Linked DNA regions of Arabidopsis thaliana. The protein of the gene in region 4 interacts with the protein of the main gene of each other region in a pairwise test. Each region holds a gene or a part of one and is shown on either strand. Other genes may lie near its edges.

Region 1 (6,170 bases), 380 kb from region 4:
TGATGCATGAAACTTCAATCCATTCCACAGAACAAGATTTATGATGGTTACAGAAACTCATGAAGTCATGAACACTAGTCAAACTGTTAAGACTAACCATAGGCATAAGCTATTGATTGATTATTCTCATTCCGCACTATCGTTTCCCCATCTGCATACCATGCAATCTCCTCTCCTTTCCGGATTTCCCTTGGACTAAGTGAAGCATAAACCAATGTCAACAATCCACAGAACAAACATATAAAACTAAAGTGTTTGAATCCTACACAAAAGAAATCAACATATTCACCTGAGTGGACGAAAACGCACAGTGACAGTGACATTTTCTTTGGACTGCAAAGGCTTAGGTGGTAACTGAGGCTTGCTTCGAACCGATGAAGAAGTAGGGGAGCTATGGCTATCTACAGACGCCTCTTGATAAAGTTTTGAAGACGAGGTTGTTGAAGATGCAGAGGACTCAACAGTCTTTAACTTGCTAAATCCACCATTTCTAGTCTTTGATACTTGTTTAGATCCCATCACAAAACCAAATTCAAACTTCGAGTGACTGAAAAAATGAAGAAAGTACAAAACTTTATCAAGTACAGACTGAAACCAAGCTAACGGAATTATGCTCGACTGTGTAATGAGCTAAAGATTCCTTTTTTTTTGTCAAACTGAGCTAAAGATTCCAAATTGTCATAGAGCAACTTGCAAATTGACAGGAAAGCAATGAAATTGGGAGTTTACAAAGCTCAATCGGTAAGCGAGTGAGAGAATCACAATGAGAGGAATAAGAGAATTACGGAAATGCCACGAGCTTCGAACACTTGGGTTAGGTCGAAAATTGCAATAAAAGAGAAGAAGAGAGGCAAGTGGGTACTAACTCAATGTAGCATCACCGCCGCTAAAAGCCGAATCGCATGCAAAGGATTATGATGATGCAAGAGAGAGTGAGTGATTACGTAGAAGAAGAAGAAGAAGAGGAACTTAAAGAAGAGAAAAGCATAATCATCATTAAAAGAGTAATTAGTTAGATGATTGCGATTGTTGTGTAAAAGAGTGTTTACTTTTTAATAATAATCTCTCGCTTGCCTTTGAAGTTTGAAGTGATAATACCCGAGTTTCAATTGTTTATTCGTTCTTCTCTTAAACTGTAATCACCAAAACATCATTAAGAGATAAAGATAAGAGAAGAATCGTATACGTACACATGTACAATTGTACGTATTTGCCTTCACGGATTTTTCTATGTCATAAATAGCTATAAACTTCTAAACTTTTGTTGTTGAATCAATTATGATTAGATAAGGAAGTAAATTGGTGTGAAAAAGATAAAGATATGGAAATGATAGTAAAGTAGTGTATATATATAAATGGTGTGCAATCTGTAACAAACAGAATATAGAGAAATTAATTAGTGAAAAAAGTAGAAAGTGATTGTTACAGGGAATATTTTTCCACATACGTAAAAATAGGTCTAATATTTTTACTTTTTAATTCCGATCTTGTACTTTTCTTTTTACAATTGATTAAAGTGGAAATAAGCTTCCTTTATTTTCATCTTCATTGATGAAAATAATGAGTAGAGAAACATTTTACTACCTAAAATGAGTAGAGAAATCATTCCTCTATTCAGAGAACAAATGTCTAAAATGAACTGTTTTTATTATTTTGCTCAATAAATACATAAATTTGGTAGATAAAACCAAATAATCTTTTTTAAATGCTAGTTAATTTTTTAAAAAAGTATACATTTTTATTGGTACCTTTTATTGTGAATTAAATATTATGAGGTTTTTTCATATTTATATATTTCTTTATTAATTTTAAAATGGAAAATTCTCAAAATTCCATTAAACAAAAAAATTCTACGTAACATATCAATTAACTTGTGAACTTTTTTTTAATTCAAACATTATTTTTCTCCGTTGTTTCAAATAATATATTTGAAATAAAACTTATAACAAAAAAAATGAGAAGATATTTTGCATAATGTTTTTTTATTCCAATGTTTTTGGATTTCAACATATGTATTCAATTGCCCGCCGAGGAAAAATAATTACATAGCTCTAAAGTCCAAAAGAAGCCCAATCTTTTTTTATTCGTTCACTCACTACTCTCTTCACTCGCCCAAACTCTGCAAAACCTCTTTCGATTTCAAAAATCAAATTCACCAAAAAAACTTCGAAGAACAAAAAAAATCCAAAAAAAGGTGAAATCGAAGAAGAAGAAAAAAAAGGCAAAAGCTTGAATTGATTATGGAAGACGACGATCAGCAGAAGGCTGCAGATCTAGTACAAGAGCTTGTTCTTCGTCTCGTCTCACAAAACCCTCAAACCCCTAATCTCGATCCCAATTCTCCCGCCTTCCTCAAAACCCTTCGTTACGCTTTTCGTATCCTCTCTAGTCGTCTTACTCCTTCCGTCCTCCCTGACGCCACCGCTATCGCTGAGTCTCTCAAACGCCGTCTCGCTACTCAGGGTAAGTCCTCCGACGCACTCGCTTTTGCCGATCTCTACACTAAGTTCGCTTCCAAAACTGGACCTGGCAGTGTCAATAACAAATGGGCTCTTGTTTATTTGCTTAAAATTGTTTCTGACGATCGTAAATCGGCTATAAATGGTCTTGATTCCTCGGTTTTGTTACCTAATTTGGGGATTGGTGATACTGGTAATGGGGTTTTGAGCCGTGGAGAGGCTAAGAAGAAGGATTGGAGTAATGGGGTTTTGTTGGTTAGTAAAGATCCTGAGAATTTGAGGGATATTGCGTTTAGAGAGTATGCCATTTTGGTTAAGGAAGAGAATGAAGTGACGGAGGAGGTTCTAGTGAGGGATGTTTTGTATGCTAGCCAAGGAATTGATGGGAAATATGTCAAATTTAACAGTGAAATCGACGGTTATGCCGTGCAGGAGTCTGTTAAGGTGCCTCGAGCTACGAGGATTATGGTTCGTATGCTCTCTGAGCTTGGTTGGTTGTTTAGAAAGGTTAAGACTTTTATAACTGAGAGTATGGATCGGTTTCCAGCTGAGGATGTGGGAACTGTTGGGCAAGCGTTTTGTGCGGCGTTGCAAGATGAGCTTTCTGATTATTATAAGTTGTTAGCTGTGCTAGAAGCGCAGGCCATGAATCCTATTCCTTTGGTTTCTGAATCAGCAAGCTCAAACAATTACCTTTCTTTGAGGAGGTTGTCGGTATGGTTTGCGGAGCCTATGGTGAAAATGAGACTGATGGCTGTTTTGGTTGACAAGTGTAAGGTTTTGAGAGGTGGGGCGATGGCTGGGGCTATCCATTTGCACGCACAGCATGGTGATCCGCTTGTTCATGATTTTATGATGAGTTTGCTTCGATGTGTGTGTTCTCCGCTATTTGAAATGGTGAGAAGTTGGGTTCTAGAAGGGGAGTTGGAAGATACTTTTGGTGAATTCTTTGTCGTAGGTCAGCCGGTTAAAGTCGATTTGCTTTGGAGAGAAGGCTATAAGCTCCACCCAGCAATGCTTCCATCTTTTATTTCACCAAGTCTAGCTCAGAGAATTCTGAGAACTGGGAAATCTATAAACTTTCTTCGTGTTTGCTGTGATGACCACGGGTGGGCTGATGCAGCTTCAGAAGCAGCAGCTGCCTCTGGGACAACAACTAGGCGAGGAGGTCTCGGGTATGGTGAAACAGATGCACTTGAACATCTTGTAACCGAGGCAGCAAAGAGAATCGACAAGCATCTGTTGGATGTTCTATATAAGAGATATAAATTTAAGGAGCATTGTCTTGCGATTAAGCGTTATTTACTACTTGGTCAAGGTGATTTTGTCCAGTACTTGATGGATATTGTAGGACCCAAGCTTTCTGAGCCAGCCAATAATATTAGTTCATTTGAGCTAGCTGGGTTTCTTGAGGCTGCAATACGAGCATCAAATGCACAGTATGATGACCGTGACATGCTAGACAGATTGAGAGTGAAGATGATGCCTCATGGCAGTGGAGACAGAGGCTGGGATGTATTCTCATTGGAATACGAGGCAAGGGTTCCATTAGATACCGTGTTTACTGAGTCTGTTTTGTCTAAATACCTGAGAGTGTTCAATTTTCTCTGGAAGTTGAAACGGGTAGAGCATGCTCTTATCGGAATTTGGAAGACCATGAAACCAAATTGCATCACTTCGAACTCATTTGTTAAGCTTCAAAGTTCGGTGAAGTTGCAATTACTCTCAGCCCTGAGGCGGTGCCAGGTCCTTTGGAATGAAATGAACCATTTTGTTACTAACTTTCAGTATTACATCATGTTTGAGGTATTGGAGGTATCATGGTCTAATTTCTCAAAAGAGATGGAAGCTGCTAAAGACCTCGATGATCTCTTGGCAGCGCATGAGAAGTACCTCAACGCCATTGTTGGAAAATCTCTTCTGGGTGAACAGTCACAGACCATCCGCGAATCACTTTTCGTCCTGTTTGAGCTTATATTACGGTTCAGGAGTCATGCAGATCGTTTGTATGAAGGAATTCACGAGTTGCAAATAAGGTGTGTTTTGTCTTTTATATTCAAACAAAAGTAGACCTTAAACTATTGCTCAAACATTTTCCTCTGATTTTAGGGTCACAATTTGATCTCTAATATCACCGATTTCCTGCAGATCTAAAGAATCAGGACGAGAAAAAAACAAATCGCAAGAGCCCGGTTCATGGATCAGTGAGGGTAGGAAGGGCTTAACACAGCGTGCTGGAGAATTTCTACAAAGCATGAGTCAAGATATGGACAGTATTGCAAAGGAATACACATCGTCACTTGATGGATTCCTATCTCTCTTGCCTCTGCAACAATCTGTAGATCTCAAGTTTCTCTTTTTCCGGCTTGACTTCACTGAGTTCTACAGCCGATTGCATTCCAAAGGATAAGAAAGTTGAAAGAGTATCAGGTTTAGTTGAAAAGCATATTGCACAATCGCAAGAGAAGAAGACATTATCTACGTCTTTCACTAACCGCTGACTGCAGCATGGGCTCTCCTGAACCAGGGATGCAGAGGTTCTTTTCTTAAAATCTAGGTGCGTGGGAGAATCTGTTTCTTATTTAGAGACTGCCTCATAGATTTTCTGTCTTTTGCATAGATTGTTTTTTCAATGGCTTGTTTCAAAGTTTAGGATTGGGAAACAGATTCTTTGTGTTGGTAAATTGGGGAAGGTTTGTGTTTGAGTTTGTGCTATAAGTCTGATGATCTCCAGCTTTAGTTTTTTTTCTTCTTCTGTGGTTCACTGATTTGTATGATTTGTTTTATGACTTGGTTGATATAAGAAGGAATCAGTTGCTTCTTCATAATGTGTATCTCCATAGTGTAAAAGGCTCCAAACTCTGAATTTTTCACTATCTAGAAGCTTCTGTAGCCACGGCCTGAGATTGAGCACAAGCATTAGCTCACAGTGATTTTAATCCGCAAGCCTTTCTCTTGCAATTAAGAAGAACCTTTGTGATACTCTTCCTCTCATCCACATTGATCTATCTCTGTGTGAATGAAGCATATGAACAACAAAAAACAAGTAGCTTTTGGCAAGAGTTACAGTCTCAAAATCTAAAGCAATCGTGTCCAATTTAAAAGAAAAAACAATTCACGGTTGTCGATTAATTTGCAAGTGCAGGCCAAACTGGAGGTTAACATATAAGGAAAAAAAAAAGGTGAAAAAATTCGTCGCCTGAGAGATTCGAACTCTCGCGGGGAAACCCCATTTACTTAGCAGGCAAACGCCTTAACCACTCGGCCAAAGCGACGATGATGCTCAATTAATGAATTGATTAATTTAATCGTTAATTGAAATTATTAGTATAAAATAGAAATCAAAATGTGAAATTTCTTCCAAAACATTAGCTTTTCATTCACTCGTAGAACTTGTAATAGAGTAGCTCATTTACTTGCCAAACATGGTTGTCTTCAATGTAACTACTACTCTGATTATGCTTGTCCTCCTAATTGAATGGTTGAACAATTGTACCTTGACTTTAGCCATTCTTAATTAACAAAGCTCAATCTCGACGAAAAGAAAAAAAAATGTGAAATTTCTTGATTATCAAAAAAAGGAGTTTTTAAGTTTGAAATTGTATAAAGAAAGAAAATAAGAAAACTGACTGTACATATTAATTTTTTTTAAAAGAAAAAAAAAAGGTAGGAAATGAAAAAAAAGAGAGAACTAGACAAATTTGTTGATCA
Region 2 (4,057 bases), on a different chromosome or scaffold from region 4:
CGACGAACTCCGTCAGGTTTAAATTCTTAGCTTATTTGACCCCTAAATTTTTATTATTATTAGAGAACTAATAGGAATAGGGGTTTGTTGATGTACAGATTCTGGGGCCTGGAATGTCTGATAGAAAGTGGGAAGTAACATTGAAACATGCTAGAGAGTGTATTTTGGGAAATAAGTTATACATTTCTAGAGGACCGAATTTTTTCATGATTTTGAATCCGATATGCGAAGTTATGAAAGCACTTATCGATGGTCATGTTCTCTCTAGTCAAGAATCCCTCAACCAGGTATTGAATGGTCATTTTCTCTCTATTAAAGAAGTTAAGCAATTATTGATAGCTCAATGATTGTTTATTAGTTAGAAACTGTATTTATTTTTTTAATTCATCTATGGTAATGTTTTGTTGCAGCCCTACGTTAAGAACTTAGTTCGAGATGCTTACTCAAAGGGGAACTTTTTAGAAGTGGGCGAACGAACAGCGAACGAGGCTGCTCTTTTGACACAAGGTATTACTTTAAAATAGTGTCAACATAAACACCATTTCAGTTTTTCTATAATTGCGAAACATCGTTGATTATATAGTATGTTACAACAATGTAATTTTGATTATATAGGTGATGATTTGGACCAACAATATGCTGCGAGCCACTACCAAAACATCGAAATCGATAAATCATATCAACAAAACGGATATGTTCAAGAGAGATCTACAAACAATTTGGAGATAGTAAACGAAGGGTATATAACGACTCCAGCGGAATTCAATATATGTTTCACCGGATCTTCGTCTCAAAATCATATAAACCCTTTCTAAATCCTCATCTACGTTAGTATTGGAAGACACGCCATAGTGCCTTGGCCGAGATTGGACTCTTTCTAAATAAGGGTTTAAACTTTAAACTACTACTACGTACATGATGGTAAAACATGTATTCTAGATCTGCTGATCATGATTGTACATAAAAGTGTGAAGTTTAGAGTTATATTTTTAGTTGGATGGTATACCACTTGTTCACGTTTTCACAGTTGTATGAAAACGTTGTTTTTACCATTCACGTTCAACAAATTTTTACGTTTTTACGTTTTAGAAAAATTGATTCCGCTGTATATGTACGTACTTGATGAAAGTATTGACTAAAAAAAGAAATCAAGAATATGAGGGTAACTTTGTGATTTACTTAAAGAAAGCCTCTCAAAAGGATTGAGTGGGGATGACTCAAATACTTATTACCAATTTGTCTCTGAAACTCTCTATTCAATTACCTTACCAACCCTAATTTACACATCAATAGCATAATGAAATTGAAACTTAGAAAACAAGCATGAATGATACTATTTGATTAGGCATCTTCTTAATCAACCGTAGTTGTTGTTGTAGCAGAATCCCTACGAAGCTCCTTGACGAGAGTAGCGAGAGCCTCAGGGTTAAGACCAATATCGCAAAGAGCTATAAGAACAGACAAAGTATGTCGATCAAGACCTGTCTCCAAGATGTTCGACATCCGAAACACCAGCTCCAGTGACTCTCTCGCTGTTTCAGCTGCTTCCTGATTCATAATACTCTGAAACCACCAAACATCATCCAGAACAAAAAAATATCAATTTCGGAAACGATTCAATTTACATATGAATATCTACTCTATTCTTGTACGGATCTCCATGGATGTACAGAGAATGGAAACCCTTAAAGTGGAAATCGGAGACTTGCCGACGGATCAAGAGATACATTAGATCGGAAAAAGGTTAAGGAACAAAACGAACCGATTAATCGACGGAGAAAACGAACGGCGTCGAGTTTGAGAGAGAAGAAGTGAGATCTTAGAGCTTGAGATAATTGAGAGAAACGATTCTCGATCTCGTGATCGAAGAAGAAGAGGCGAAAATGGGCCAACAATTAGAATTTAGAAATCTAGGGTTGTTTTTTTTAAGAAAATAAACCTTTGGCCGGTTCAGAGTATATTTACTGGTTCATATCAAATCGGTCGGTTAAATAAAATCCGCCGGTTTTAATACAATCGAAGTCTCTGAACTAGTTTTAATCAAGGGATTCTTTTTTGTCGGAATCAAGGGATTCAAGACCTTGTTATGATTAATTCGGCCAAAATTGACAAAATTGCATCCAAATTTAGAGACTTATTTTGTAGTGATATCCTTGAAATTGGAACTTTTAACTTTTAAGTAGCTTATGTTAGTCGAATTATCCGAAATTTCTTAAAAACATATCAATGTGAATATGTGATGATCAAGATTTATTCCTTGACGACAAACACATTAATGGAAAGCCAAACTCAAAAGTAAGAAACTTGAAGTAGAAAAACCATCGATGATGAGCGAACAGAACAGAACACCTTTTTTGGTCTTGAAAGCAAGAAACAGAACATCGAAAACTAGAACGAAATACTGGGACTAGCATTTCGGATACGGACAATGACAATCAGTGGCGATTATTTTGGCGTTTGGGGAGTTAAGGAAAGATTTGAAGTTAGGGTTCTTCAAGTACTGGCAGATACAATGCTGTTGCTCCTTCACCTTGCTGCAACACAGATCCGATGGCTCAGACCCTTTCATTATGGTCTCCAAGCATGGACTCAGCTGCGCAGGATTACATGGATCTACTGCAGCGACTCTGTTTTCTTGGGCAACAATTAAAATGAGAAGGATTGTACAAGTGAAAAACACTGGTTTTGTGCAAGAACCCTTCATTGTCTCACTAAGTTATAGAAAGAAGAAGAAGATATTTGGTTTGGAGTTTAAAGTGGGTTTCTCTCGTTCTATTTATAGAAGAAAATGTCTTTGAGTGAGTCACGTTACTCAAACGAGAGTTTGTGGTTGCAGGAGATCTCGATATGTCTAAAAGAGATTAACTTTTTTCTAAAAGGCTCGGACAAAGCATAAAAACACCTAGGCACCATTTTGGAGAAGTTATGAAACCACGTGTAACCAAAATAGATGTCAGCTTTCGGCTACCCCCAGTGAAGGTATATGAATTTGTTGACACTTAAACAAAGTAATGAGAACACCTTCATAATTATATATTTTACTTCATTACTATTGTACTAAGCACAAAATATGACTTAAATTTCTAATTATATTCAAAAGGCAGAACTTACAGCCAACATGGACCAAAAACTGATCTGTTTCCATTCACTAGGCAGTTGCTTCCTTTCAAAATCTTCAATGTAGTGCATAAGTCTGTGGCCCAAAACCAAGACCAATTAGAGTTCATTGATCACAATGTTAAACATATATCAGGCCATGAAAGAATAAAAGAAGATAAGCTGCAGTATATATTAAGTTTACTCAGACACTTTTCTAGAATCCATATTCTCCATGTGGTATCAGCCACCAAGGTTTTCATACTTAGCACATAATGAATAGGATAAACAAAGCCCAAGACACATGATTAAGCAAGCAATCACACGCTTAAAGATTAAATAGTCTCTAACAAGCACAGTGTTAGAAAATCTCTAAAGTACTAAATAATTTGTATATCCATTTAATCAAGTTATACAAGTAGAAAATGCAAAATGTGACAAAAAAATAAGAGACTGTAAAATACAGAAGAAAATGTTCTCTTTGCGAGTACCGTATGGTGCGAAATCCAAAACTTACCATGTGTTAATCACTTTCAGAGTAAGAATAAGACGAGCGATTAGCTTTCAGGGCATCAGTCTTAATATTGACATCAGACAAGCCAACATCATTGAAACCATCAAACTCTACATCGGAATCAGACGAATCACCATCTCTCAAGTCATCACTCTCAATATCTGAATCAGACGAATCACCATGGCCATCACTCTCAATATCAGAGTCAATATCGTCAACCTTATGTGCATCGTTAACTGGATACTTACGCACCACATCCATCACTTCATCATCACTATCATCGTGCTTCCCTGATAACTTCCTAATCATCAATGCCTCAAATAAATCAGGTATAGCATCCTCATTTCCATCATCCAAAAAGCTTTGAATTCTTTTTTTCAGCTCTGAAATACCAATTGGATTAAGAAAGTAAGCAAAATTATAATCTTTACATGAAAAATTATGAGC
Region 3 (4,339 bases), on a different chromosome or scaffold from region 4:
TGACCATGCATGATTTTGGCAAACAATAGAGTTAAAAAGAGTGTTCAGTGTGACTGATATTCTTCAGCTGTACAGTTGTGGAGTAATGATGAATGTGAGATGAGTGAGTTTGAAGAGTAAAGCGTCTCTGGTGAATCATTAAGCTAACCATTGAGTGTGGGTATATAACTAGCTTATTACTTTGGTTCTTTGTCTATATATGCTTAATACTTGTCTTCTAAAAGTTTAACCATTACGCAGAAACTATACCGTATACTTACCGAGTAGATTAACAGGTGAAGACGAATATTATAATATTTTCTTCCTACCGATGTTACCACAGATTGATTTGGCGTAAAGGCCACGGAAGAAATACAAGTATTAGAGTCAATTAAAGACAGAAATCTATGGATGTATTAGCCATTGTGAAAGAGTAAAACTCAGGCCTTTTGTCTCTAGGCTTAAAGAAAAACACATTTCCAATACTTTGTAGAAGTGTGCCATTATCCAACCCTATCTCTAGTCTCCAAAGACTTTCCGATCACTCCTAGCTTCCCCTGACCTCGAGGCCGCAAGATCCCTTATAGGAAAAAAGGAGAAGTGTCTCTATGTTTGCTTAAACTTAAATAAAAAACCTGGCTGGTTCGTACATTCCCTTTCTCCCAACCAGAAACTGATACCAGTCCCTTCACTTCCTAACTTTCCTTACCAACATCCTAGTTCTTCGACTGTTGTATCACTTGGTTCAGATATTTACTTGGTTGTAAAACTCATCATTTGCGTCAACTCCCCAAGATGCATGTCCCTCGAGAAGAAGCATGTTTTAATGTTATCGACGGTAAGATCTGTGTTTGGAGGCATCAGCAGTAAGTATTATGACACTGCTGAGAATTATGGAGAAGTTTACGACCCAAAGACACAGACTTGGGAGCCAACAAAATGTACTGGAAGATTTTCTCGCGAGAAAATTATTGGTTTGTGCCCTACTGTTTGCTTGTTAGAGTCAAAGAATAACGTATGGTGGACAGCGAGGGTTTCTGAAACTCGAAACTAGTCTGCGGTGATATATGCACGTTCACGATTAGAGGACTTGAAGAACCGTCCTCTAAGTATCTTATTTCGGTGACAAAACCCTGGCCTGAGGAAGGAGAGTGATAGTTCGGTGGAAGACTTATACTAAGGAATGTAAAACGGAGATTTGGTGTGCAGAGATTTTGATTGAGTGTGATTTCCCTCTTCGGGGATACATAGAATGTTTTTACCTTCCAGGGGTTGTGAATCAGATGATCCCAAATTCCTTTTGCATTCTGCTTTAGTGACACATGATCACTGAATTTTCTATGAGCTTTTGAGAGATAAAATTACAATTATATACTTTTTTTTGCATTCTGCTACTTTGGCTTTCAAATAACGGTTCATACAAATAAAAGAAGTTATAATTCATCCATACAAATTTTGTTTAAATGATACAAAAAAAGTAGTAACAAGATTCACATACCAACCACAATACTTGTATAATCCATTGCATACCTGCAACATAAATTTCGACCGGTCGATATGTTAGATCTGAAAACAACAGAAAGAGGTAGACTTGGGCATAGACTCGTCAATCATCATTAGACTGAGAAAATTCTCAATACCTGATCAGTGTATAGATGGTGTGGTTGTGACAGAATCGGGGATAGACTCGCGACGAAGCTCTTTCACAACAGTAGCTAGAGCTTCAGGGTTAACACCAAGATCACAAAGAGCTATGAGAACTGACAAAGTATGCCGGTCCAAACCCGTGTCCAAGATGTTTGACATGCGAAACACAAGCTCTAGTGACTCTCTTGCTGTCCGAGATGCCTCCTCATCCATACTGATCACACCTGTTAAACTCCACAATTTTAAAGTCCTAAGGTAGTTAGTGAATTATAGAGTTTCTACCAAACCAAATTAGACAAAAGTAAGTGAACTATGATCTAACAAGAACCAAGTCAAAGACTCTTAGGTGATTTTGACATAAGAAGTTAGAAACTAGAGTCTTATAAATTACACAACAACATTTCAAGCTAGAGCTTTGTAGTGAAGATACAATGCTCACACACACAAAAGTGAGTCAAATTTGTTTCAGAGCCCAATAATATTATCTGATAGGTGAACAAGGATTAGTCTAATAGATCAGTTAATACCAAAACCAAAACACAACCCAGAAACATTCAATTCAAAAGAAATGTAATTCAGATGAAAAATGAGATTGAAATTAGGGTTTTTATGTCGGCGGCAATTTGCATAACATCGAATAAATTTCAAATTTTTTATTTCGAGACTAAGAATTAAGGAGTAATCTGATAGAAACGAAGATAAGAAAACTTACGTTTAGAAACGGAATTTGCAAAAATAAAGTATGAAGCTTGGTCTTGGAGATAGTCGCAGACTCACAGTGTGAAGTGAGAAGTGGGAGACGAAGGGAAAGGACTTGGAGGTCTTTCAATAAATGTAAATTGTGTTATGTCAAAAGAAAAAAAGTTTATTGTCTTTCAATAATCATATTAATATTCTAAACAAAAATATGTTTGAAATATAACTCCGACACTAAGATTGATAGTGTTAATTTTTTTTAATGAATTATACTAATGAAAAGAAAATAATATAACTCTGACACAATTGTTTTTCTTTTTTAACATCTGAAAAAAACAGATTTTTTATAATTGAGATAAATCATATAGAAGATGTTTGTTTTTAATATTTTTTTCTCGAACAAATGCTTATTTCATTATATAAGAAATGAGTTTTCAAAATTATTAACTCACGTGTCAAATTTATTAATAAGATATTCGCACATGTCAAATCAAATTTTTTTATATTTAAAAACATAAATAGAAATTTTTTCTAACCTTATTGAAAAAGAAATATATACATAAAGTCAAAAATAATGTTTCTATATTCAAATTTTTTATTTAATATACTAAACTATTGAACTAATGAACTAATTCTATTAAAATTGATATATTCAAAACAGAAGTATAAGTTCTTTATTTTGTTTTGAAAAATATTAATATGTGTTTTAATATTTTCTAATAACTTAAATATGTTTATTCTTTTATTTTCTTAAGTTTATTTTTTTCCCTCAATTATATCGTTCAATTTGTTTACAACAATATGCATCTAGAGGCTCCGTTGCGTCCGTCTTTTTCTTGATGTTGTATGTCGTCAGTCGTCTTTGTCTTATCTTTGTGTTGTACTCTGAGAAATACCTTATTATATGTAATCAATAAAAGCATGTTATATAGAATCTATAGAATGTGTAAGATTAAAATTTGTATTTAGAAAATACAGATTACTATGTAAAATTTAAATCTCGTAAAAAATTATTTAATTCTCACAACTGTCTATTTAGAAGGGAATTATCTAATATAATTCCAAGTTTTGAAACATTGTAAGACAAAGTTAATTATAGAATCGATGTTTCAAGCTGTTATTCATTAGAATTGAAGAATGAGTAAATATTGAACCCAAATACAACTTCTCAAATGTTTTTACTTTATATGATATTTTTTTGGAGTATAACATGTAGCGTAAGCTAAAATTGTAAGAAATAAATTGGAAAAAAAATTATCTATTTAAAAAATAATAATTTAAAACTCTATTTCGGTGTAGGAGGAGTTACACCGGCAATTCTTGAACATTGTTCTTTTAGCATCGGAGGGAAAAGCGGAATAAGTGGAATTTTTGGTATGCAGTTGGCTTCAGCGTCCAAAAATGCTTTGCAACAAGCAGAACCTAAATTACTGAATTTGCCAATAAAAATGGATTGAGAAATCTCTGCAATGCATTCAGGAATATCCATCACGGATGACCAACATTTCGTTATATCAGGTAATCCTGGCATTCCAGGAATCGGTTGAAACGAAAATGGAAAAAGAAACGGAGCCGGAAACTGAGGTAACTGAGCATTTACAGAAACTATGATGCATAGAACCACTAAGAGTGAAAACACATTTTTGATAGGCATAATGAGAAACTGAGAAATAAAAAAGCCTTAGTATAGCCAAATATATGCTTAATGCTCTGTTTGTTTTTGATTGATGAACAACAATAAGATTCCTGCTTATTTATATGGAATGAAATGTAAAACTGTGATATTAATTATTTTAATAACATCTTTGAATGGTTTAATTAGGTATTTGATTAACAGTTTTATAAATCAAAATAAAGACGAAACTCCAAGTGTAAAAGAAGCAACATTAACTAAGAAATATTGATTAAAAGAGAGAAAATAAAAGTATAACGTATGACTTCACATAATTAATCAATCACCAGTTTTATATCTCAAAATTCAAACAAACAAATCGATGTATAATATTTTCTTAGAGAA
Region 4 (5,997 bases):
AACACCAGAATCGCAGCGACTCGAGGGATCCCACTACCGAGTATCGGGATTCCTGATTTGAGATAGTCAAGGAAGAGAATCGGATAAAGAGCGTTGTCTATAACGCCACTTAGCCATTTAACCCAACCTTGTTGAAACCCCCAATAAGGTCCCATAGCTAAAGTGACCCACACGACGTAACCACCGTTCTCCGGGAACATTGTTCCCATCTCAGCAGTGATGAGTGCTTCAGGGATACTCCATATAAAAGGGAAGACGATGAATCCAACAATGGCTAACAATGGTCCTGCTGCTTTCACACTATCCTCAATCCCAAACGGACCGCCTGAGACCTCGTAGAATATCAGGAAAACTAGTGGCAGTACCGTTATTTTCTTGATTTGGTTGACGGTTCTCGCCGGAGACGTAGCAGGGTCACCGGTGGTGACACCAATGCTTATGTGAGGAGGAGGAGGAGGAGGGTTTTCGGTGGAGATTCTTGGCTTCTGCGAGGCGGAGTCAAGATTCGGAGAGCTAAGCTCAGTCATCGAGAATTGGAACTTAAAATAATTGAGAAAGTGCTAGGGAAGTTGCTTCGACGTACACAGAACAGAGCTAGAAGAAACAAGAAACATGGAAAAGTTTGAAACTTTGAGCTCCGCGAAATCGAAAATTAAAGCTTTACACTTTGTGAAAAGAATGAATACCCAGAAACAATCGCAGATGTTGTTGTTCCAGGTTTCAGAAATTTATCTTATATTGAAATACAGAAAGAAAAAGGAAACAAGGCTTCTTATTGACAACTTATGTAGGATAATAAATTCATAAGAGATGTTAGATAACGATAAAACCTTCTTTTTTCTTTAATATTTTTTAAAAACCCTATTAGATAAAATCCATCAATGAATAAATTCCTGTATTGCCGACCCAAAAGAAAATCTTTTATATTTTAGCACTCACTCACCTAATAAGCATGCATCTCAAGGTTAAAACGAGGTTGTTTTTGTTGCTGCACTATTAGAACAACCTGTTTTCTCGCAGCTACAAACTTTAAGGTAGGAGGGGTCCACGATGTTACATTGGTGTAACTTCAATATGCATAGGATTCCAAGAATATATGTTACTAATACAATTCAAGATTCCTGCTATGCAACTTTTAGGTGCTCTTAATCTTAGAAAGTACCCAAAAAAAACACATTCATCTCATAGATTGAAACTCATCCACATCATAATACTATTCAAGGTTTACAATGCCAACACTCTTTATCGTTACTACTACTGATCCTACCAAAGAAAACCTATCATGACCTGAAAATCTCAGTTAAAAGTGAAACATCATATGACTTACTCTTGAGTTTTTATTTTTTGTTCAGAACGCTAACTTAGGATCCGCAACTCCTGAAGCATTGCCTTCACCAGTCATAAGCTGTCCAGGGTCCTGAGAGAGTCACATATATTCGATAATCATTATAAGTTCTTCCTTTAGTGTGTGACTATAGATGGCAAAAGCTTAGCTTATATACCTCCATTCCCCATTTGATGTAATCTGGAGACTCACAGGCCTTATATTCGTCTACCAAACTCTCAATTATGTCCCTTGATTCATCAAACTCTGAAAGATCATTGTCCTGTCCATATCAACATGTAGATTCTCATGATTTCAACATTAACTGTCAATGCTAATAATAGGGTGGGTTGCACTAAACATCAGCCGATATATTTGAGCAGTCAACTTACAGCAAACATTGGAAACTTTCGGTAATTGTCAAGAAAAGCTTGCTTCTTCCTCAATTTGTCATATTGGCTCAAACATCTGCTGAAAAGGTGCCTGATACTAGTGTGGCTTGCTAACATAAGACCACTGACCTGAAATATCAAATACACCACCAAACTTAAGAGTCTTCGATGTATCTACTAAAGCAGGAACTGCAGCCTTAGACATTAACTGTAAGGAGTACCAACTCTCAGCATGAGTGCATGACAGATATATATAGAGTGATATAAGATTACCCTATGGGAAGTTTGAACATACGGGGACTTCTTGGAAAGAGCAACCTGTTGAGAGTAAGATATGGAAAAAATTGTGATGCAAGTCCATGGTAAATCCAAAAGCAATAATTAATTTGACGACGCAATTCGGTTAGAACCTGTATGCTTGCTGGTCCCCAGTCTATGAAATTGACAAGCTTTCTTTCTCGTATCCTCTGCAAACTCTCATGCACCTAATATCAAGTAGTGAGACAACAGAGCAGATAACATCAACAAGAAAGAATTACCGATTCATCCTCAATATATCGAACAAAAAAATTAGTACATAAAAGTACCTGAGTGGGATCGACTTCTCCTTGAATTATATTCAATATTGATATGTACTTTGCCTGACTAGCTTCTTTGTTTCTAGCATAAGACGAAACCATGATATTTTTTGTCTGCGAATACAATCATGTTAGAAGAAAATCTAATTCAATTTTCGAAAAAAGACTGGAGAAAGCAAACAGCTCACCTGTAGAAGTCTCCTCATAACATCCAGCACAGTAGTTTTACGAATAACATTTGCCTGCCAAGAACAATTCACATAAGAGAGTAGGAAATCAATGAAAATGTCAATCATAACATTCAGAAGTCATGTTCCAGATAACAGCAGCTTCCCATAAAAATGGTTTGATGATATTAGTTATAAAACTGATTGAGATATCTAACCTGGCGCTCAACAGTCAACGGTGTATATCCAGTCATGAGGAAGTGACACCTTGGAGTTGGGATCAAAGATGCAAGCAAGCCAACCAAGTCATTATTCATGTATCCAGGATAACGCAACGTTGTTGTGCTAGCAGACATCACAGTTGACACCAAAGAATTGGTCTGAGCAAAAGTAGGATTAGTCAAATGTAGACGCTCCACAGCAATTCTGTTCAATGCAGTGTTGTCAAGAACAACAACACAATCAGCATTTAACGTAAGCCGCTTCAGCGTCAACAGTGAGTTGTAGGGCTGGACAACAACGTCACTCGTTTCCATCTGATTGGGAAATACACTGTATGTCTGAACCAACTTCTTGCTATAACGATCATTCAAAGTCTCCAACAAATAAGATCCCATTCCTTCATGTGAAAATACATAAAAAAAAGTCATTCAGTGAATAAACATAAGCTAAACGAAGATAGGGATTGGCAATAAAAAGTAAAATACCTGAGCCAGTGCCTCCAGCAATAGAGTGGCAAAGAACAAAACCCTCCAGACTGTCACTTCCATCAGCTTCACGATCAATCATGTCCATGATTTCCTCTTCAACACCTTTCCCTTGGTGATATCCACTGGCCCAGTTATTACCAGCACCACCGCCATGGTCAGAAAGGAAGATATTTTCATGATTGTAGAGATTCCGGTATTCACCATTCTGAATACCATTGATAACTCTAGGCTCCAAATCAATGAGGAGAGCTCTTGGTATATAGTGTTGGTCATCCGCTTGGTAAAAAAACACATCTTTTCTATCACCTCCCTACATACATACAAGTAGTTCATCAATCAAATCCACAATTCTATGAACAACAACAACAAACCAGCAACCATGGAATTCAATTAATCGATGCATAGAAACGAATTCGAAGAAAGAGGACCTGAGTAGCGAAGTCCTCGAGAATACCATCTTTGCTGATGCCGTGCTCAAGGCAAAGCTGTTTCCAGAACTCCATACCGATCTGGTTCCCACATTGTCCAACCTGAAGCGTAATTATCTCCCTCGGCATCTTCTTCCTCTGTAAAACCCTACCTAAGTGTTTCGAGACTACTACGCCTGAAGAGGATGATCAAACTATACTCATTAAAGCCACACTTTCAGCTTCTTCTTTACTCATTTACAGAGAGATACAGAGAGAAAACGTCGTTTTATCAGAATTCAACTCGATGGGCCATGGGCCAGGCCCATTTTAAAATAGAGACCAAAAACAGAAGTTACTTTACTACTACTACTCTTAAAGTCTTAAACTCTGGTCTCTCTCTATCTCTCTTGTCCGTGCGCATCGGATTTTGGAAACCATTGATGCAGACCTCAATCCATCTCTAACACCACTGATCTATCTACTTAGGTCTTCTCTAACAATACTTGTAATTTTCTTTCTTTTTGCTTCTTCCGTCACTACATCTATGGCCGCTGAGTCTTCTAACCCTCGCACCGTCGAAGAGATCTTCAAGGATTTTAGCGGTCGTCGCTCCGGTTTTCTTCGAGCTCTCTCCGTAGGTTAGACGACGACGCTATCCTCATTTTCTCCTATTTTCTCGTAAATGTTAAGCTTTCTAATTTTACATGTTGTTGTTCTTGCCTCTCTTTTACTAGATGTTGACAAGTTCTACTCTTTATGCGATCCGGGTAAACGAGCTCTTTCCATGGTTATTTTTCGGATCTGTGTTTGTTTTTTCCATGGATAAGTTTCAGAAAAAGATACCCTTTTTGATAAATTTTGTTCCTTTTTTTGTTTATTGGGTGGTCTTAGAAATGGAGAATCTGTGTTTGTACGGACACCCGAATGGGACATGGGAAGTGAATCTTCCAGCTGAGGAAGTGCCTCCGGAGCTACCTGAGCCAGCTCTTGGAATCAATTTCGCTAGAGATGGTATGCAGCGTAAAGATTGGCTCTCTTTAGTTGCTGTCCACAGTGATTGTTGGTTACTCTCTGTTTCTTCTTACTTCGGCGCTCGTCTTAATCGCAATGAGAGGTACGTTTGCCTTTTGTTCTTGCTTGTTTCAGTGACTTTTATAAATTGTCGAAGATAGTTTTACTGTGCTAGCTAGATTGTGGTGGTAATGATGAGAAAAAATATGTCTTTGGACAATGGACTGTATCATGATTCATGAGCTTGTGTCATCACTATTTTGTTTTTGTTTCCTGATTCTTTCTGTCACTTTAACTCTACTTGTCAATGAGCTTCTTTCCTTCTTAGGTTAAGTTTCTTTAAATGCATACCATTTTTCACTAATCCTTCTGTTTTTTGAACTTGTGCATCGTTTGGATATAGAAATGGCTACTACATTCAATACATATCTGTTCTATCGGAGCTGATGATATCGTGGTATTCACTAGGTTACTTATCCAGTTATCCTTCAAGTTTTATTTCCTTTACGTTCTATAAGAGTCTATGTTTTTGCTGGTAATGAAGCTCATAAGTTACATATGTGCGGGTATATGAGCTTATTTGATAGTCTTCTGAGATTATGCTACTGGGTCTAGGAACTTATTATGTATGTTCCATTCAATGAGCAGGAAACGTCTATTTAGTCTGATCAACGATCTCCCAACTCTCTTTGAAGTAGTGACGGGTAGGAAACCCATCAAAGACGGTAAACCAAGCATGGATCTCGGAAGCAAATCCAGAAACGGCGTAAAGGTATCATAATGAACTCTTTACTAATCTTTACCATCCCAAAACAGTATTTTCTTCTCAAAGACAGAGAAGGGTTTGATATTAATAAATTAGTTGTGTTTTGGTTGGTATTGAATTGTTGCAGAGATCAATTGAAGGGCAGACAAAGAGCACGCCGAAACTAATGGAAGAGAGCTATGAAGATGAAGACGATGAGCATGGAGACACACTCTGTGGAAGTTGTGGAGGAAACTACACAAACGACGAGTTCTGGATATGTTGTGATGTGTGTGAACGTTGGTACCATGGGAAGTGTGTGAAGATAACACCAGCCAAAGCAGAGAGCATCAAGCAATACAAATGCCCTTCTTGCTGCACTAAGAAAGGAAGACAGTGAGTGAATGAATGAGTGAGTCATCTTTCTCATTTTTCCTTATTTCTTTTTAAGTTATTGCAAAACATCCTTTTGTTAATGTATGAATACAAAACAATTATTGGTGTTAGATTCTCAAAAAGGGCGTTTTAAAATAGTAATGAGGGTATGAGACATGGAGAGAGTCATAGAGACACCAGCTGCTTAGAGAGCTTCGTCAACTTTTGATCAAATATGCCATGTGTTTGTATATGTAGCGACTCTACTACTTTCATCGTTTATGT

The links.
Region 1: the proteins of GCP2 (region 4) and SPC98 interact in a two-hybrid assay, tested with the Arabidopsis thaliana proteins (one study listed by BioGRID).
Region 2: the proteins of GCP2 (region 4) and GIP2 interact in a two-hybrid assay, tested with the Arabidopsis thaliana proteins (one study listed by BioGRID).
Region 3: the proteins of GCP2 (region 4) and GIP1 interact in a two-hybrid assay, tested with the Arabidopsis thaliana proteins (one study listed by BioGRID).

What each region holds. Positions count from the first base shown.
Region 1 is NC_003076.8:2,054,501-2,060,670, forward strand, and holds SPC98 (spindle pole body component 98), read left to right. Parts: upstream 1-2,027; 5' UTR 2,028-2,240; coding exon 2,241-4,495; intron 4,496-4,607; coding exon 4,608-4,869; 3' UTR 4,870-5,359; downstream 5,360-6,170. Other genes in the region: AT5G06670 (P-loop containing nucleoside triphosphate hydrolases superfamily protein), read right to left, coding at 98-195, 290-519. UniProt on the Arabidopsis thaliana protein: Gamma-tubulin complex is necessary for microtubule nucleation at the microtubule organizing centers (MTOCs). Required for the positioning of the gamma-tubulin-containing complex on pre-existing microtubules and for the proper organization of cortical arrays.
Region 2 is NC_003070.9:27,742,519-27,746,575, reverse strand, and holds GIP2 (mitotic-spindle organizing 1B-like protein (DUF3743)), read right to left. Parts: upstream 1,928-4,057; 5' UTR 1,763-1,927; exon of another isoform or gene 1,564-1,762; 5' UTR 1,558-1,563; coding exon 1,354-1,557; 3' UTR 1,147-1,353; downstream 1-1,146. Other genes in the region: SARD1 (Calmodulin binding protein-like protein), read left to right, coding at 1-16, 99-287, 411-507, 616-815; AT1G73780 (Bifunctional inhibitor/lipid-transfer protein/seed storage 2S albumin superfamily protein), read right to left, coding at 2,408-2,704; AT1G73770 (coiled-coil protein), read right to left, coding at 3,620-3,993. UniProt on the Arabidopsis thaliana protein: Required for gamma-tubulin complex recruitment to the microtubule organizing centers (MTOCs). During mitosis, modulates gamma-tubulin complex localization, spindle stability and chromosomal segregation. Necessary for gametophyte development and embryogenesis.
Region 3 is NC_003075.7:6,037,206-6,041,544, reverse strand, and holds GIP1 (AtGCP3 interacting protein 1), read right to left. Parts: upstream 2,491-4,339; 5' UTR 2,339-2,490; exon of another isoform or gene 1,851-2,338; 5' UTR 1,840-1,850; coding exon 1,624-1,839; 3' UTR 1,620-1,623; intron 1,510-1,619; 3' UTR 1,319-1,509; downstream 1-1,318. Other genes in the region: CRP4 (ECA1 gametogenesis related family protein), read right to left, coding at 3,608-3,976. UniProt on the Arabidopsis thaliana protein: Required for gamma-tubulin complex recruitment to the microtubule organizing centers (MTOCs). During mitosis, modulates gamma-tubulin complex localization, spindle stability and chromosomal segregation. Necessary for gametophyte development and embryogenesis.
Region 4 is NC_003076.8:1,677,071-1,683,067, reverse strand, and holds GCP2 (gamma-tubulin complex protein 2), read right to left. Parts: upstream 3,839-5,997; 5' UTR 3,729-3,838; coding exon 3,600-3,728; intron 3,482-3,599; coding exon 3,169-3,481; intron 3,081-3,168; coding exon 2,680-3,080; intron 2,537-2,679; coding exon 2,483-2,536; intron 2,409-2,482; coding exon 2,304-2,408; intron 2,202-2,303; coding exon 2,127-2,201; intron 2,035-2,126; coding exon 1,990-2,034; intron 1,846-1,989; coding exon 1,717-1,845; intron 1,608-1,716; coding exon 1,503-1,607; intron 1,418-1,502; coding exon 1,349-1,417; 3' UTR 1,013-1,348; downstream 1-1,012. Other genes in the region: RMV1 (Amino acid permease family protein), read right to left, coding at 1-527; AL1 (alfin-like 1), read left to right, coding at 4,126-4,219, 4,316-4,348, 4,473-4,695, 5,241-5,364, 5,486-5,737. UniProt on the Arabidopsis thaliana protein: Tubulin is the major constituent of microtubules. The gamma chain is found at microtubule organizing centers (MTOC) such as the spindle poles, suggesting that it is involved in the minus-end nucleation of microtubule assembly.